Linked DNA regions of Schizosaccharomyces pombe. The gene in region 2 interacts genetically with the main gene of each other region. Each region holds a gene or a part of one and is shown on either strand. Other genes may lie near its edges.

What was found.
Region 1: mutations in xan1 (region 2) and ppx1 together harm fitness more than expected from each alone (negative genetic interaction), as found in Schizosaccharomyces pombe (one large-scale study listed by BioGRID).

What each region holds. Positions count from the first base shown.
Region 1 is NC_003424.3:3,944,555-3,950,824, reverse strand, and holds ppx1 (exopolyphosphatase), read right to left. Parts: upstream 4,271-6,270; 5' UTR 4,248-4,270; coding exon 4,130-4,247; exon of another isoform or gene 4,088-4,129; coding exon 3,051-4,087; 3' UTR 2,896-3,050; downstream 1-2,895. Other genes in the region: splicing-associated factor Saf2, read left to right, coding at 1-305; qtr2 (queuine tRNA-ribosyltransferase accessory subunit Qtrtd1/Qtr2), read left to right, coding at 647-828, 904-1,768; plp1 (thioredoxin domain-containing protein), read left to right, coding at 1,879-2,090, 2,135-2,287, 2,332-2,418, 2,467-2,542, 2,584-2,895; GARP complex subunit Vps54, read right to left, coding at 4,782-6,270.
Region 2 is NC_003421.2:2,076,660-2,085,030, forward strand, and holds xan1 (alpha-ketoglutarate-dependent xanthine dioxygenase Xan1), read right to left. Parts: upstream 4,004-8,371; coding exon 2,762-4,003; downstream 1-2,761. Other genes in the region: SPOM_SPCPB1C11.03 (cysteine transporter), read left to right, coding at 424-2,136; SPOM_SPCC576.19C (uncharacterized protein), read right to left, coding at 4,588-4,947; SPOM_SPCC576.02 (hydantoin racemase family protein), read left to right, coding at 5,988-6,698. UniProt on the Schizosaccharomyces pombe protein: Alpha-ketoglutarate-dependent xanthine dioxygenase is a non-heme mononuclear Fe(2+) enzyme that decarboxylates alpha-ketoglutarate to succinate and CO(2) while hydroxylating xanthine to generate uric acid. Allows xanthine utilization as a nitrogen source.

The DNA.
Region 1 (6,270 bases), on a different chromosome or scaffold from region 2:
CAGCGAAAGTTCAGTTCAATCGCCTATCTGGAAAGTTTATGCCAAAATGGGCTTCACCAGAGTTGCGAAGTGAAGAAAACAAAGCACATAAGCATATGGAACAGTACTTTGACATCAATTCTTCATTGAATAGTCACAATGGCCAAAGTTTACTGGCAGAACGGAGAAACAAGCGATATACCAGGAAAGAGATGGAGCAAATGAAACGAAGAACAAAAGAGAAAAAAGAAATGAAACGAAGAGCGTTATATGACATCGCTTCAGATGAAAAGGACTTCCGCCGTCGCAAAATTATCCGTTATTAATGTTTTTATTCCATTGTTTCTTTCTTGTTTGCATGTTTTATTATTACTTTAAAACTTTAAAAAAAGTCTAAACAATTTACTATAATTTATGTAATGATATTTTTTTTTTTACTTAACTAAAAACTTTCAGTTTTGTAAGACTACTGATATCCAAACAAAGCTATTTTACAACATTATAAATCGAATGTTTAGACGACCTTTTGTGTTTGAATATCTTTCAAATTTAAAAAACATTCATATAGCAATATTCGTTTAATGTGCTACAGTGAACCATCGTTATTTTGATATCGTACATGTGTAAATAGAGCAAAACTTTTGCAGCTTTATTTTGCGATTTATTGATGGCAATTTCTTCATTATCTAGTCCTTCAGGGGCTCGCGTATCTTCAGTTACGGTGAAGAACAAGGTTCTGAAGACTCCTTGCTTTTTCCTTCCTACTTCCAGAGGAACTGTTCCTCATTTGACACCTGACAATGTTGAAGAATTCGATATTCCTGCTCTCTATGTAGGGTTGGAGGATTGGTAAGGTTTAAATTTAGGACTCAAATGCTTTATCATATCTTTTTTAATTTGAATTTCTAACTAATATGTTTGTAGCTTGGATCGTCTGGAAGCCTCACCAATCTTGACTAATGAGGGAACTATCAAAAAATGGATCGCAGCACCCTCTGTCCAACCTACTTTACTTGCTCCAAGAAGAACATCTCCTTTGCCATCTGTTTCTGCAGGACAAAGTCATATTAATATCGTTACTGCAAGTGGTGCAAAGAAACTGACAAATGACTTGTATATTAAAGCTGTCCTAAAGCTTTGTCCTGAATTAGTAATTCCTTTAAATGATACCCCAACTAGTCCTCCTGGTGTCAAAAGGAAGCCAAAAATTGTGGAACGGTCTGTCAATTGGACAACTGAGTTGCTTTTAGCACTCAAAGCGACGGACGCTTTCAATACTACTAAAGTATTTTTCCCTGTTCCTGATCTGGACACTCAGTACCTTACGCCTATTTTCCAGTTTTTTCAAGAAAATCAACTTGCTAACAACATTGCTGGCTTGGCATTTTCTAACAATGTCAATCCATTACCAGCTGATTTGGTTGGTCTCCCAAGACTGAGTATTCAAAAATTTGAATCACCACTCGAAATTCTGAAATGCATTCAAAGAGGAATTGACATTATTGTTCCAGATATGATAACACAAGCTACTGATGCTGGTGTTGCACTTACATTCTCTTTCCCGCCTCCTTCTAAAGATGTGTTGAATTCTAAAATTGAACTTGGCTTGGATATGTGGGACGAAAGGTTTGCTACTGACATGGAACCATTGCAATCCGGCTGCGTTTGCAAAACATGTCGTAGATACAAACGCGCTTATGTTAGGCATCTGTTACAGGCTAGAGAGCTAGTTGCTTGGATACTTTTACAGCTGTATGTTTATATTAAAGAGCATGGTAAAGAAAGCTAACGATTTGTAGACACAATGTTTATGCCTTCACTGCCTTTTTTCAAGGAATCCGCGCCTCCATACAAGAGGGAAACTTTGATGAAGATGTTAGAAAATTTGAAGAAATTTATATGACATCTTTTCCAGCATCCCATGGATTTGGGCCGCGTAAACGTGGTTATCAAATGGATTTGACAAACGTTCAGCCTGTAGAAAACAAGCCTGCTTGGATTTCTATGAAATCTCCTTTGGAAAAGGAAATCGCCAACGAGTATGAAGCTTTGAAGGTTACTGAAAGAAAGGAGGATACTCAGGATTACAATGAACCAGAACTGCATAATAGGTAGGTTACAGTAGCGTACATATTATGTCTAATGTTGACATTAGTAACGACCCAACAGTTGATCTTTACGCTGATACGTATGCTACTCAAGCTGCAACCGAAAGTGATTCAGAATTGGAAGATGCGCTCTTTTCACAGTTGGATGAATTTGATGATACTGCTTATCGAGAACAGAGATTGGAGATGCTAAAAAAAGAGTAAGAAAAAGCTTTAAAATGATTTTAAGAATTTAACCGTTCAGATTCGCTAGAGTGGAAGCTGCAAAAGAAAAAGGACACATGCAGTTTCTTACTGTAGAAAATGAGCGCGAAGTTATGGATTTTACGCTGTATGTCAAAACATTAGCTTCGATTATTTTAAACTAATTATTTTTTAGTTCATCAAAAAAAGTTGTTATACATTTTTACCACCCTGATTTTATACGTTGCAAAATTATAGACTCTCATCTAGAGGTACGAGGAGTTCCATTTATTGCTTACGCTAACATTCTCAGAAAATTGCCAAAGTACATTGGGAAACTAAGTTTATCCGTATTGAAGCAGCCAACGCTCCATTTTTGGTAGTCAAATTGGGTCTCAAAGTATTACCAGCCGTACTTTGCTACGTAAATTCTCAGCTCGTGGATAAGATTATCGGATTTGCTGATTTAGGTAATAAAGATGATTTTGAAACTTCACTCCTAGAATTTCGGTTGCTCAAGAGTTCAGCAATCGACCGATTAAAAGAAGAGAGTTCTTCAAACAAGTCTATTTACCACGATGAACTACAAAATAATCAATCAGATGACAGTGATTTTTTTGAATAAAAGGATCTTGGGATTACAAAGTAAGAAATTTAGATCAATGTGATGTATAATATATATCCTTTTAAAAAAATTTAAAATCTATCATAAGCCTACTGATGAGTGTAGCTATCGTAAAATGTACAGAACAGAAATCACAATGGAGTCTAAAGCAGTAACTATTTTGAAGCGACTTGTTTAACTGAGTCCATAAGTAAGGGAACTACTTTCTTTCTGCTAGCAGCGGAATTTCTTTGATTCCACATACTGAGGTCGCCATTATCTTTCTCTTCAATAATTTCTAATCCTAAATTTTGTTTGCTAAGTTTTAAGAAAGAATCGGCAAGACCAGCTCCCCTTTCAGTACGCTTGTATAAAATCAATTGACGACCAAACTCGTCGTTCTTACTCAGAGATAACCCAACAATTACCAAATCAGAATTTTGCACTTCGGCAAAACTTTTCAATTCATCTTCCCATCCGAGACGTTTTTTCTTGATCCAATCTAATCCCTTTCCAACACTGGCATAATTGACGACTATTCCGTCCGGAAAATACTGTTTTAAATCCCTGCGTAGTAGATCATCAAAAGAAAAACCCTTACAGCTCTTCTTTTTCTCTTTCAGAGTATCAAAAAACTCATCTCGAACCCAATCTTTTGGCACAAATGAGCATAAGTCATTTACTATTTTAACATCGGTATCAGTAGTCTTTTCATTTTTTAAATTTCCAGTATCAATTAAAATAGGGCCAAGTGCCAAAACAGCAAGGTTGGTTGCTGTTTGGTGAAGTTCAGATACTTTGGAATCATATAGAGATCTAATGACAGGCATAAAATATCGGCAAACTAAAGTACAGCAGCTACCGCATTCCTCAATGATTCTTGGATCAGCATGTAAGGATCCCCCTTCATCTTTGTGGTGATCTATAATACCAGCGATACTGCCGTTGAAATTTTCTAGGTCTTTACGGTCCAAAGAATTGTGATCAACTAAATAAATAGGATTACTGAATATTCTTTTTGGTAATTTTACAATATCATCTAAAAAGACAATATCATCGGAAGATATTGATGCTAAGTTCAACAAATAAGACAGTTCAGGCCTAAGACGTAGCTCCTTTCGAGGAATGTTAAAAAAAGGTACTACAATCCTACCCAGCTGTTTTCTTTGCAGGCAATACGCATATACGATTGAACTAGCGCAACTGTCAAGATCTAAGACGAATTGTTAATTCTCGTCTATTACGACTAATGTACCTGCTGATTCATTTCCACTAACAAAGCTAAAAGACGGGGCAGACGATACAGTCGAAGCATTTAAGAGGAGATTTCGTATTTGCTCCCTTCCGTTTTCTAAAAATCTGCCTAATTTCATTGTACCAAAAGATTGAAAAGGTTACTTCAGGCTTTAGGTGCAAGCCAATATATCTAATCTATTACTACCAAAGTAACAAGTTACTCAATATAGCAAGGAATTTGACTGATACACTTAAATCAATTATGAGTATTTTCATAAGGAATTGAATAAAGGTGATAAAAACAATAATAAATGAGAGAAGATGAAAAGAAATTAAATCGGTCGAAAACATTACGCTCCCATGAGATTTCCGAATTAAATGAGTAATACTCTAAATCAAAACTGGCCGATTAGTAGTCATAAGTGAATTTGTATTCGTCATTGTGAATACTAGAACTATCGATAGAATGGAGAATTTTATAGAGAAGCTGCTTGGTTCATAACTTGCAACAAAATTTTTGGATTCTTAGAATTCATTCAGGTTAGTAAATTGTTAAACCAAAATGTAAAATTCCAAAGAATATGACGGTAACTCGAGCACAAAAGCAGATAACCAAAATACCTGTCAAGAAAAGAACTAAAATAGATTACAAAAAACGACGAAACAAATGTTTAAGCCGCTTCCTGCTGTTCCGGAGTACGTTCAAATTTTTCCAATAAAGTCCGGTCTCCTGCATATCCGCATTTAGATGCCATCATGTCATAAAAATAGGACAAATCAATACGAACGCCTGGCCATTTGGATGGATTTCTTGCAATATCCGTAAGTTCCAACTGCAGTCTATCTTCGAACATCCGAATTACATCTGGTATTACTTCTACACAGTCACGTTGTGAGTAGCGATGTAAAACTTTGTAGAGCTTTATAAGACTTTTTGAAAGATCAATAATGTATCCATGAGGACTGTCAATATCCCACGAAAGAGAAGCAATCTGGGAACAACTGATAGCAACTCGTTCCCTCATGAGACTAACAAACTTATCATGAATTTGTAAGTGATGAACGGTGAAATCTTGATCCAACTTATTAGTTTCATTGGTGAGTCGAGTTCCTGTTACTCTTGACAAGTACCTGCACATTGAATTAAGGGATAATTGAAACAATGCGATAGTTTGAGAGGCAAGTGCAATATGCTTCCCAAGTACTTTACTAAGGCCAGACGACCGCACTGTCCCCGCTCCCAATATTAATTGATAAACCCGAGAATTGAGTGTACGAAACATATCTAGCATACCAGTCTGAAACTCTGGAGCCAATCTTGAAAAGTGAGCAAGAAGTTTACCATAATCATCCAATGTTTCTAACAACGTAACAGAGGACCGAACAATATGTAATGATTGTTTTCCAAACGAAACCGTAGCAGTACAGTCCTCTGAAACTTTTACATGGTGAACCCTATGATTTTCATCTTCTTTTTCTGCTTCAGGAGATAATAGTCGCGTCCATTCTACGGGAGTATTACCGGAGCATTCAAACACGCGATTAGCTAGATCTTGACAGGATGGTTCAACAGGTATCGCTTCCCATAGCTCCCTTTCAAAGCTTGATGCCAATTTCTGAGTAGAATATCGTTGAAAATTTTTAAACCAGTCCAGTAATTGCCTCATTATAGTTGGAATAAATGAGCTTTGTGTGATTCCGCAAAGACTTTCAAGCTCATTATGAAAAATTATGTGTAAAGAAAAAAGGTATATAACATTATTAGGAGGATAAGTATCCAAGACTCGAAATCGAAGATTATTAATAGTTGTCACTTGTTGTGTAACAACATCGGAACTCGTGGCCATTAAATCATTAAGAATCACAGATAGGTGATATTGTTTAGTATCTTTTTTCGATAAAATATCTATTAAAACTTTTATTTGGCTGCGAATGCGACGCAGACATTCCAATGATGAAAAATATATATTCGTCAACATTTCTGCAAATTCCGTGATGCTCATGCTCTGAAAAGGATTCGCCGCTGATGAACTTCTTCTAGAGCTATCTGAAAGACTAGAAAGGCTGGCTGCACTCAAGCTGCGACGTAAATCAGAGGATTTACGAACACTGCGCATCTCTACACCATCGGTAAAATACTGTTGTGCTAAATTTTCAAAT
Region 2 (8,371 bases):
TTGGATGACCAATTTTAAGCAGCGAACTTGATATGTTTGATGGGTAATGTACACATAATTATGGCTAATTATACTACGTTAGCATGCCATAATCAGCTTGAGTTTGCATTCATCTATCGACATGATCTCCTTTGCCAACACAAGGGGTTCATGGCGTGCTTATCTAACTTTTTACTTATATTAAACGAATGCTGCTGCACTTCCATTATATATTTGTTAAGGAGAATACCAATTTCATCTGCTAGGTCGTTGTTTCATACTTGAAAAACATTATCGTCCCTTGAGCTTTTTATTTACTTCTCGATTGAAGTTGAAAAAAAATTTTTTTTTTTTTTTTTGGTCTGTGAAATAAATCAGTTTCATTTTTTTTTATTGAGAATTATTTGATTTTCTTATTTTATACATTTCAATTCGTTTGCTGAAATGACCGAGTCTATCATCTCATCTCGTACTGCATCGATTTCCTCGAAAGAGGGTTACGAAATAAGACAGGGCTCCACCGACTCGAGTTCTCTTGATTTGGAGAAAAAGGAAAATGCCGTTGATACTACAATTGCTAAACCCTTTGACTCTGATGAGGATATCGCCGACGTGGAAAAAGCTGGTGGGAAAAAAATAAACAATTCTTTGATCGATGAAACTTTTGCTTTTATGCAAGATGCCAAGAAGTTGGATCCCTTGACCCCTAAACAAGAGAGTAAACTTAAGTGGAAACTGTACATTTATTTGTTGCTAATGTTGGGTTTTTTGGATATGATGCTTTTCATTGGTAAGGCGACACTTAGCTATTCAACTATTCTGGGTCTTTTTGATGATGTACACATCACCTCCAATCAATACAATAATTTGAATACTCTGTTTTATGTCGGCTATATCGTAGGTCAATTTCCCGGTCACTACATCATGCAAACTTTTCCTCTTGGAAAATTTGTCGGCCTTGTCACCTTTTCTTGGAGTGTAATCGTTTTTTTGCATTGTTGCGCCTATAATTACGGAGGTCTTATTGCCCTTCGATTTTTCCTTGGCTTTACTGAGTCTTGCTTACTACCAGCTATGGAGGCTACTATGGGCATGTTTTTTACTCATCAAGAACAGGCATTTCTGCAGCCTGTATTTTGGATCTCATGTCTAAGCTGCGGTATTCCTGCTGGTTTTATTGCCTATGGCCTTGAGTTTGTCACGAAAAGCATTGCACCCTGGAAGCTCTTTATGATCATTACCGGTGGTATTACATTCTTCTTAAGTATTTTCCTTTTCTTCTACTATCCAGACAATCCATCAAAGGCCAGATTTTTAACTGACGAGGAAAAATTGTATACCATTGATCGTGTACGCAAGTCCACTAGGGGTGGAATTGAAAACAAGATTTTCAAGAAGCACCAATTTATAGAAGCGCTGAAAGATCCAATTACTTGGCTATTTACTTTTGCCGCCTTCACACTCATGCTCTCTAACAACTTGGCTTATCAACAAAATCTTATTTTTACAAGTTTAAACGTCTCAGACCTCAATTCTACTTTAGTTGGCGTTGCTCTTGCTGGATATAATACTGTGAGCGCTATTATTGCTACTTTTGCCATGTATCTTATTCCAAATCAAAGTGCATACCATGCTATGTTTTGGATGCTGCCCAGTATTACTGGAGGTATTGCTTTCGTAGCCCTGCCTTGGTCCAACAGAATTGGAGAGTTGGCTACTATGATTATTGCATCCGATTTTGGTATCACATACATCATTGCTTTAGGATGGACCACTGCTACATCCACTGGCTATACGAAAAAACTGACTCGTGGTTTGATGTTTATGGTTGGATATGCCATTGCCAACATCATTTCACCTCAGCTATGGCAAAGCCGTGATGCACCTAGATATTATCCGGCGTGGATTGTGCAAATCGTAGTTGCATGGTTTGTCACACCCATAATTTACCTGGTAGCACGAGTGATTTTGGCAAGACGCAATAAGCAGAGAAAGGAATTGAAAGATAAGAAAATTGCGGAAGGCAGTCTGGAAACCATAGAAAAGACTTATGTTGACACAGTGGATGAATTCGGCAATCCCGTCAAAGTACTGATTGATAATTCTATGTTGGATTTAACTGACATGGAAAACTTAAACTTTGTTTATCCTCTTTAAAGGAAAAAGAGAAATGAATACTGTATTTTTAGTTGTCATTTTTGTTTTATTCTTTATTACGTTGGAACGATTATTTTACGAGCTCTCGTTTTTTCCCATCTCAAGCGCGATGCGATTATTTAGGATGCATACACTCTTTTTTTGTTATTTTTAATAGATAGTTGATCTGAAATAGACATTTAATAAAACATTTAAAGGGTACAAATACTGATGATTTTTTATCTTAATTCTACTTTCGCACACGCAATTTGGTAGTTTCGCTTGCCGTTTTATTAAAGGAATATTGTATGATAAGACTAGAAAACATAGCTTGAAGATTCACAAAAAGTTATTTTATAAGTTGTCTGTTAGTCGAATGGATCAAAAGTTGTTTATTATAAACTGGACTAAAATTATAGAATAATAGAAACAGTAACAAAAACAATATATTTTTTGTAAAACTATGCACTAACACTTACTGAAAAGAAATTGATGAAAACTATTGACATTTTGCAATTAATAAAAAAAATCATTAGAAGCTAAGCTATACATAATACTAAAAGGAAAATGAAAAAGAATTAAAGAAATAAAAATTGCATATTAACAAGAAAGGGGAGGGGGGACGAAAGTTGAGCTCAATAGGACTTTACATGGCAGCAATGTCTTCTTCAGAAGGCCCGGCAGGAGGATGAGAGGCAGCAAGGTTGCATTGGTGGAAAATACGAGTCTGATCATCTCTGTAAGCACCAGTGATACAATGAGTAACACCGCGGTTATGGAAAATAACAAAGTCACCATTTTTCCAATCGTGACAATAAACACGTTCAGGGTTGATGCCAGGGCGTTGATAATTATACAAGATTTCACGAACTTTAGGAAGATCATCGATCACAGTGGTGGTGCCATCTTCGTTGTCGATTAGGATTTTCTCAGCACAGCATCCGTGAGTCTGCAAGGCAAGCTTTCCGGTTACAGGATTTTTCCAAAGAAGAGGGAATGTTTTAACCCTGCTCTCCTCCCAAGGAGGTAATTCAGACTTGTCAAGCTCAAGTCCCTCAGAATACATACCCAAACCATTGGGAAGGGCTCTAGCTTTATTGATTGTAACGTAGGCATGAGGGAAATATTGAACGCGAGTACGAGCAGCCACCTTCTTTTCCTCGTCAGTGAGCAATTCGTACATGCGATAGCCTGAGGCGAAAGCTGTCGAACCTAATGGAACAGGCATCTCATGGCCAGACTTATCATCATATCGAAGAGTTTGGGTGCCTTGTGGAGCATTAACGGCGAGAAGGGTAGTGACTACAGGAGGGTTATAGTCATAAAGGGCAGCATCGATATGCCAACGATAAAAACGGGTGACTTGTTTTTCTTTTTCTTCCTCCTCAGAAATGGGATCACGATGGAAAGTTCGATGATGAGGATGTTTAAGTCGGACCTCTTCAAGACCGTAATGATCCTTCACAACACCATGACCAATGAGTTGTACTTGAGGAACACCGGGAAGGGTGTGCAAATCGGGATGTAAGATGCTGTTGTTTTGCTGATTTGTACGATTGCCGTGACCATAGGTAGAAGACTCGGGATCAAAGCGATGGGTGATAGCGTACTGAGTCTCTGGGGGTAAATTGTGTTGATTGGGGAAACAAACCACTTGATGTTCGAAAAGAGCCTTACGGATATCTTCGAATTGTTCATCCGAGAGGTTATTCAAGTCAACATTTTCGATCAAAGCACCAAATCCAACATCAGTATTGTGTTCCGGCAATGGAACAGGGGAAACACGAAGACCTTGAGAAGTGGTATAAGCAGTAAATGGTGGCTCGGTAGCACCAGTCAAAGTGGTGGTAGGAGGTTCCACAACCGTAGTAGTAGCAGTGGCAGACATGATTGAACGAAGAATTTAAAGAAAAGTTGGTAAGAAACAAGATGGGTTCTCTTACGAAACGAGTAATAAAGGAGGATTGAAAAAAAAATATGAGAAAAAAGGTATTCTTGATAACCTTAAAAACGTTTAAACTAGTAGAGTTCAACTTTGGACAAGTAGAGGAGCAAAAGTCGAAAATTCACAACAATCGTTTCGTTTATTGATAACAATGGCGTAGAGTGGTTTTCGAATGTTTGTTTCTTTTCGAAAATCTATAACAATGGATTATAGCAACACACGATGGGTATTGGCTGTTCAAAACGAAATTAAACTAAGATTTGAAAGGAAATTTACACAAGTCAATAATGCACAATGCTATCGGAGCAAGTAAACAAGCTGGGACAGCGAGAAAAGTTACGAATATTTAGTTGTTTTTACGGAGAGTAGCAGTAATTGAAGACTTTACGTAGATGTTGTATCACCCAGGTATTATTATGAACTTCAATTCAAATCAATTGTAGCAGAAGCACAAGACGAACAATGGTCAGTGTGATTCTCTTCAGTGAGTTTTTCTTTTGATTTGATGAGACAACATGGTATTCACATCAACCTTTTATACCATGGAACCTCCAATCCTCATTACTCCTGGGCCATGTAATTTTGCTCATTATCACTTCTACCGCATACCTCTCTATCAACATAGATAAGATTGCTGAAATTACATTGAGTAGGAAATGTACGCTAAGTGAGTTTGCCGATGCTCTAAATTCGAGTGAGCGGCATGGCAAAAACAAGCATTTGCCAACCTTCGGTATATCGGACTGAGCACCACTGAGTAAGACTGAGCTGCTACGAAACGGAGAATACATGTTGTTAAACAATTCTAATGAAATGTAAAGAAACCATCGATTTGGCGTCTGCACATCAAGTCTTGTTTGGTAAAGGTCATTGGAAGAAGTAGGCATCGATAGGGGGAATACCCAAGTCGCACCCGTCCGTCTAGGTGATGACTTAAATTGAGGTTTGAGGGGAATTCATTAAGACAATCGGCGGAAATTTCTTGACCAGAAGACTAAGCACCGATGTTCTGGAGTGCGATTTTTAGTGGGACAGGGTGCGAGTTGGAACGGGCTTCGGACTCGAGTTTGCAAGTGTAGAACGAGTGGGAAAGAATCGGTAAAAGAGTAAAGTGGGAGATAGTGCATATAGAAGATTTAACGTTTTGCAGGTAAATGAGAATATTTCAATTACATAATCCTAACAGCGCTAGTAGTAAGTCTGGTGGTTAGTGGTGCTTGTGCTTTGCTTGACCAACATTCCAAAGGCAGCTCAAGTATAGCATAGCAATCCAACATTGTCCTACAAACTTTTCAATCACCTATACTATCAGTACCATCGTTGCTGCTACTCACTGACGCTGTTTACTAGTCATCAGTCTCATCTCCTCTTCGGGTCCGACTGTGTTCATTATCAGAGTGCACATTGAACAACTTGGAAACGGAGTTTCCAAGTTTACTCAAACAACCCCTTACACTTGATTTGCGTCTTATCAATTCTGTAGACAATTTCAATTGCAGTCTACAGCAGCTTGAAACAGCATTTTTAGTCATCAACCTTGAAATAGATTGTCTAGTCGAGTCTAGTCTACTAAGAGTAAATAAGCAAAAACCAAACAAACGATCAAATCTATTTTAGTCATTACTTGTTAAAAATATTTTTCGTTTTTCAAGCCATTTTGTTGGAAACTCGATTTTCTACACTTTATAATAAATTGTGACACTGGTTTTTCAATTTTAGTTTTTGACAAACAGTTTAGAAAAAAGGTTTATTTTCCAATAAACTGTATTATTTTTTGTGTCTCTGTAAATTCAGCTTCAACATTCTCTTTTACTTTTTTTTTTTCTACTATTTCCCCTTTGCTTGCTCTTTTTCTTACTATTTTCTCTTCGCTTTCTCTTCTCTACCTTCTTTCTCTTCGTCTCTTACCTTTCTATTTTCTCTCATCATGCCTACCATTCTCGTCATCAATCCAAACTCTTCCACCTTCATCACAACATCCATGGAAGAAAAACTCGTTCCCCTAGTGCCTTCAGATGTAAAGTTGCGCTTTCTAACTTGTCCTCAACCCGGTGCTGCTGTCATCGACTCCATCACAGAGGCAACCTTGACAGCTGCTCTAGTCTTCCAAGCCCTAACTCCTAGTGTCTTGGATGGTGTCGATGCTATAGCTGTTGCCTGTTATTCCCCCACTCCTCTAGTCGACATGATTCGTGAGTCATTTGCTTTACCCTGCATGGGCATTGTGCAAGCGTCTGTCCTCAGTGCCTTATCGGTTGGTCAGCGCATCGGCATCCTTACAAGTACATATCGTTCCGAATGTTTGCTTTACGAATTACTCGATTCTTTTGGTGTTTCGCGCACTCGAGTGGCCGCCATTGCTTCTACAGGTCGCACAGTTTTGCAACTTTCGCAAATGCCTTCACAAGAGCGTGAAACCCTTCTTGTCCAAAAGGCCCAAGAACTGGCAAACACAAAGGGTGCAGATGTCATTTGTTTAGGTGGTGCTGCTTTAGCAGCTATTCGTGATCAGATTCAGGTTGCCGTAGGTCCCAATATTCCCATCATTGATGGTGTACATGCGGCTGTTGAGTTACTTGCTGGCCTAGCTCGTCAAAATCTTCATACATCAAAGTTTGGCATCTATACGTATCCATAAAGAGATGTCCATATGTTTTTAGATCTAGCAAACCAGTTTGATGCTGCTATATCACATACACACACATAATAATGTGTACGACAAAGGTTGATATTCCTGGATACGTATACATTTTCTCTTGATTTATATCAATAATTACATACCTATCTATAACGTGATAATTACAACCATTACCTCTTGATACATTCTTTTCTGTCATTGTTTACAAAGCGTATTGACACATTGGTTTCATAAGAATAACTTTTCACTGTATGCCCAGTGTGTTGGATACAAGCAGATTTACAAACATCCTTTTAAAAAATCATTTTGGGAAGCAGTCAATCTCGTTTATACTGTTGTATTTCTTTACATTCGCCTTTTTCCAGTCTTCTTCAGTTTAGAAACATTGGAAGGCTGTGAATGAGCTATATGGTACGAGGCAAAGTAAAATATTATTTTACTAATAATAAAAAATAAAATGCGACTACAATTAAAATTTCTATTTTATGTATCTCTATCCATTTATATTGACTTGAATGAACTGAAAACCTATTCTTCTTTATATCTCGAAAATTCTCGTTATGTCAGCAATACTACACTACGCTATGCTACACTACGTTGCGTATCACTATATGTCATATGTTGGAATACTAGCTAAGATCCGTTTATTGATAATCACGGGTAACTATCCTTCTATATACATAGATACCCGTTGATACAAGTATTTAGAAATATTATAAATAGCGTTACAACTGAACCTCGTTCCTCAGTTCAGTTATGAGCTATATTAGTGATAGGTAACATTATAACCCAGTTAATACAATACCTATACTCAGTTGCTACTTATACAACCTGTGTATTGTAATATAATAGACCACAAGGAAAACTCACCGCAGTTCTACGTATCCTTAAATCAGATACCAAACTGCGTAGCTTACATGTTATCGCAACGAGCGTAACTCGTTTAACTCCCTTTGGGCCTGATAAGGAAGATGCGGGTGAAGGGAGTGAAATCCACGGACTAACCTTCTTTTAACCACCGAAGTCTACCCCAGATAATCTGAGGTAGCAAGTCACTTGGTATGTCAGTGCGTGTCGGTGCGTTACAAAACGATAGACGCAAAGCAAAACAATGAGAGGATTTAATTTTTTTAGGTTCCATTTTCTTGGTATAAACTAAAACATAGGTTGCCTTTTTCTTTTGTTTTGAATTGTCGTCATGTTGTCAAAAGGCATAATAATACAAACGAGTTCAATAAAACACAATGTAATCACTCAAATCATTATAACCAGTTCATCCATATACTTAAAGTTGACTTCAAATAACTTTATACAGTATTTATAATTATAAATAGTTATATAACTTACGAGCAGCATCCCACACATTTGTAGCTTTAAACAAATGTATACGATGCATTAAAAAAGTCGTTTCTGAAAATATCATTAATTAATGAGAAAAATAAGCACATTAGCAGACGTCCCAATTAAATAATTTCCTTTTAGCAGATCCGCACTCTGCTAATTTACGCAATCCACCCTTGCCTCACGAGACATTACGATGGTATAGTATGATACACACACAGTTACTACCTCAAACTTTGAGAATATAGGCAAAAAAGGAGATTCATAAACTAATCTAAAAAGATACGAGACAAATCGTGTTTGACTCTCGTTGACTACACTTGCTCAGAAAA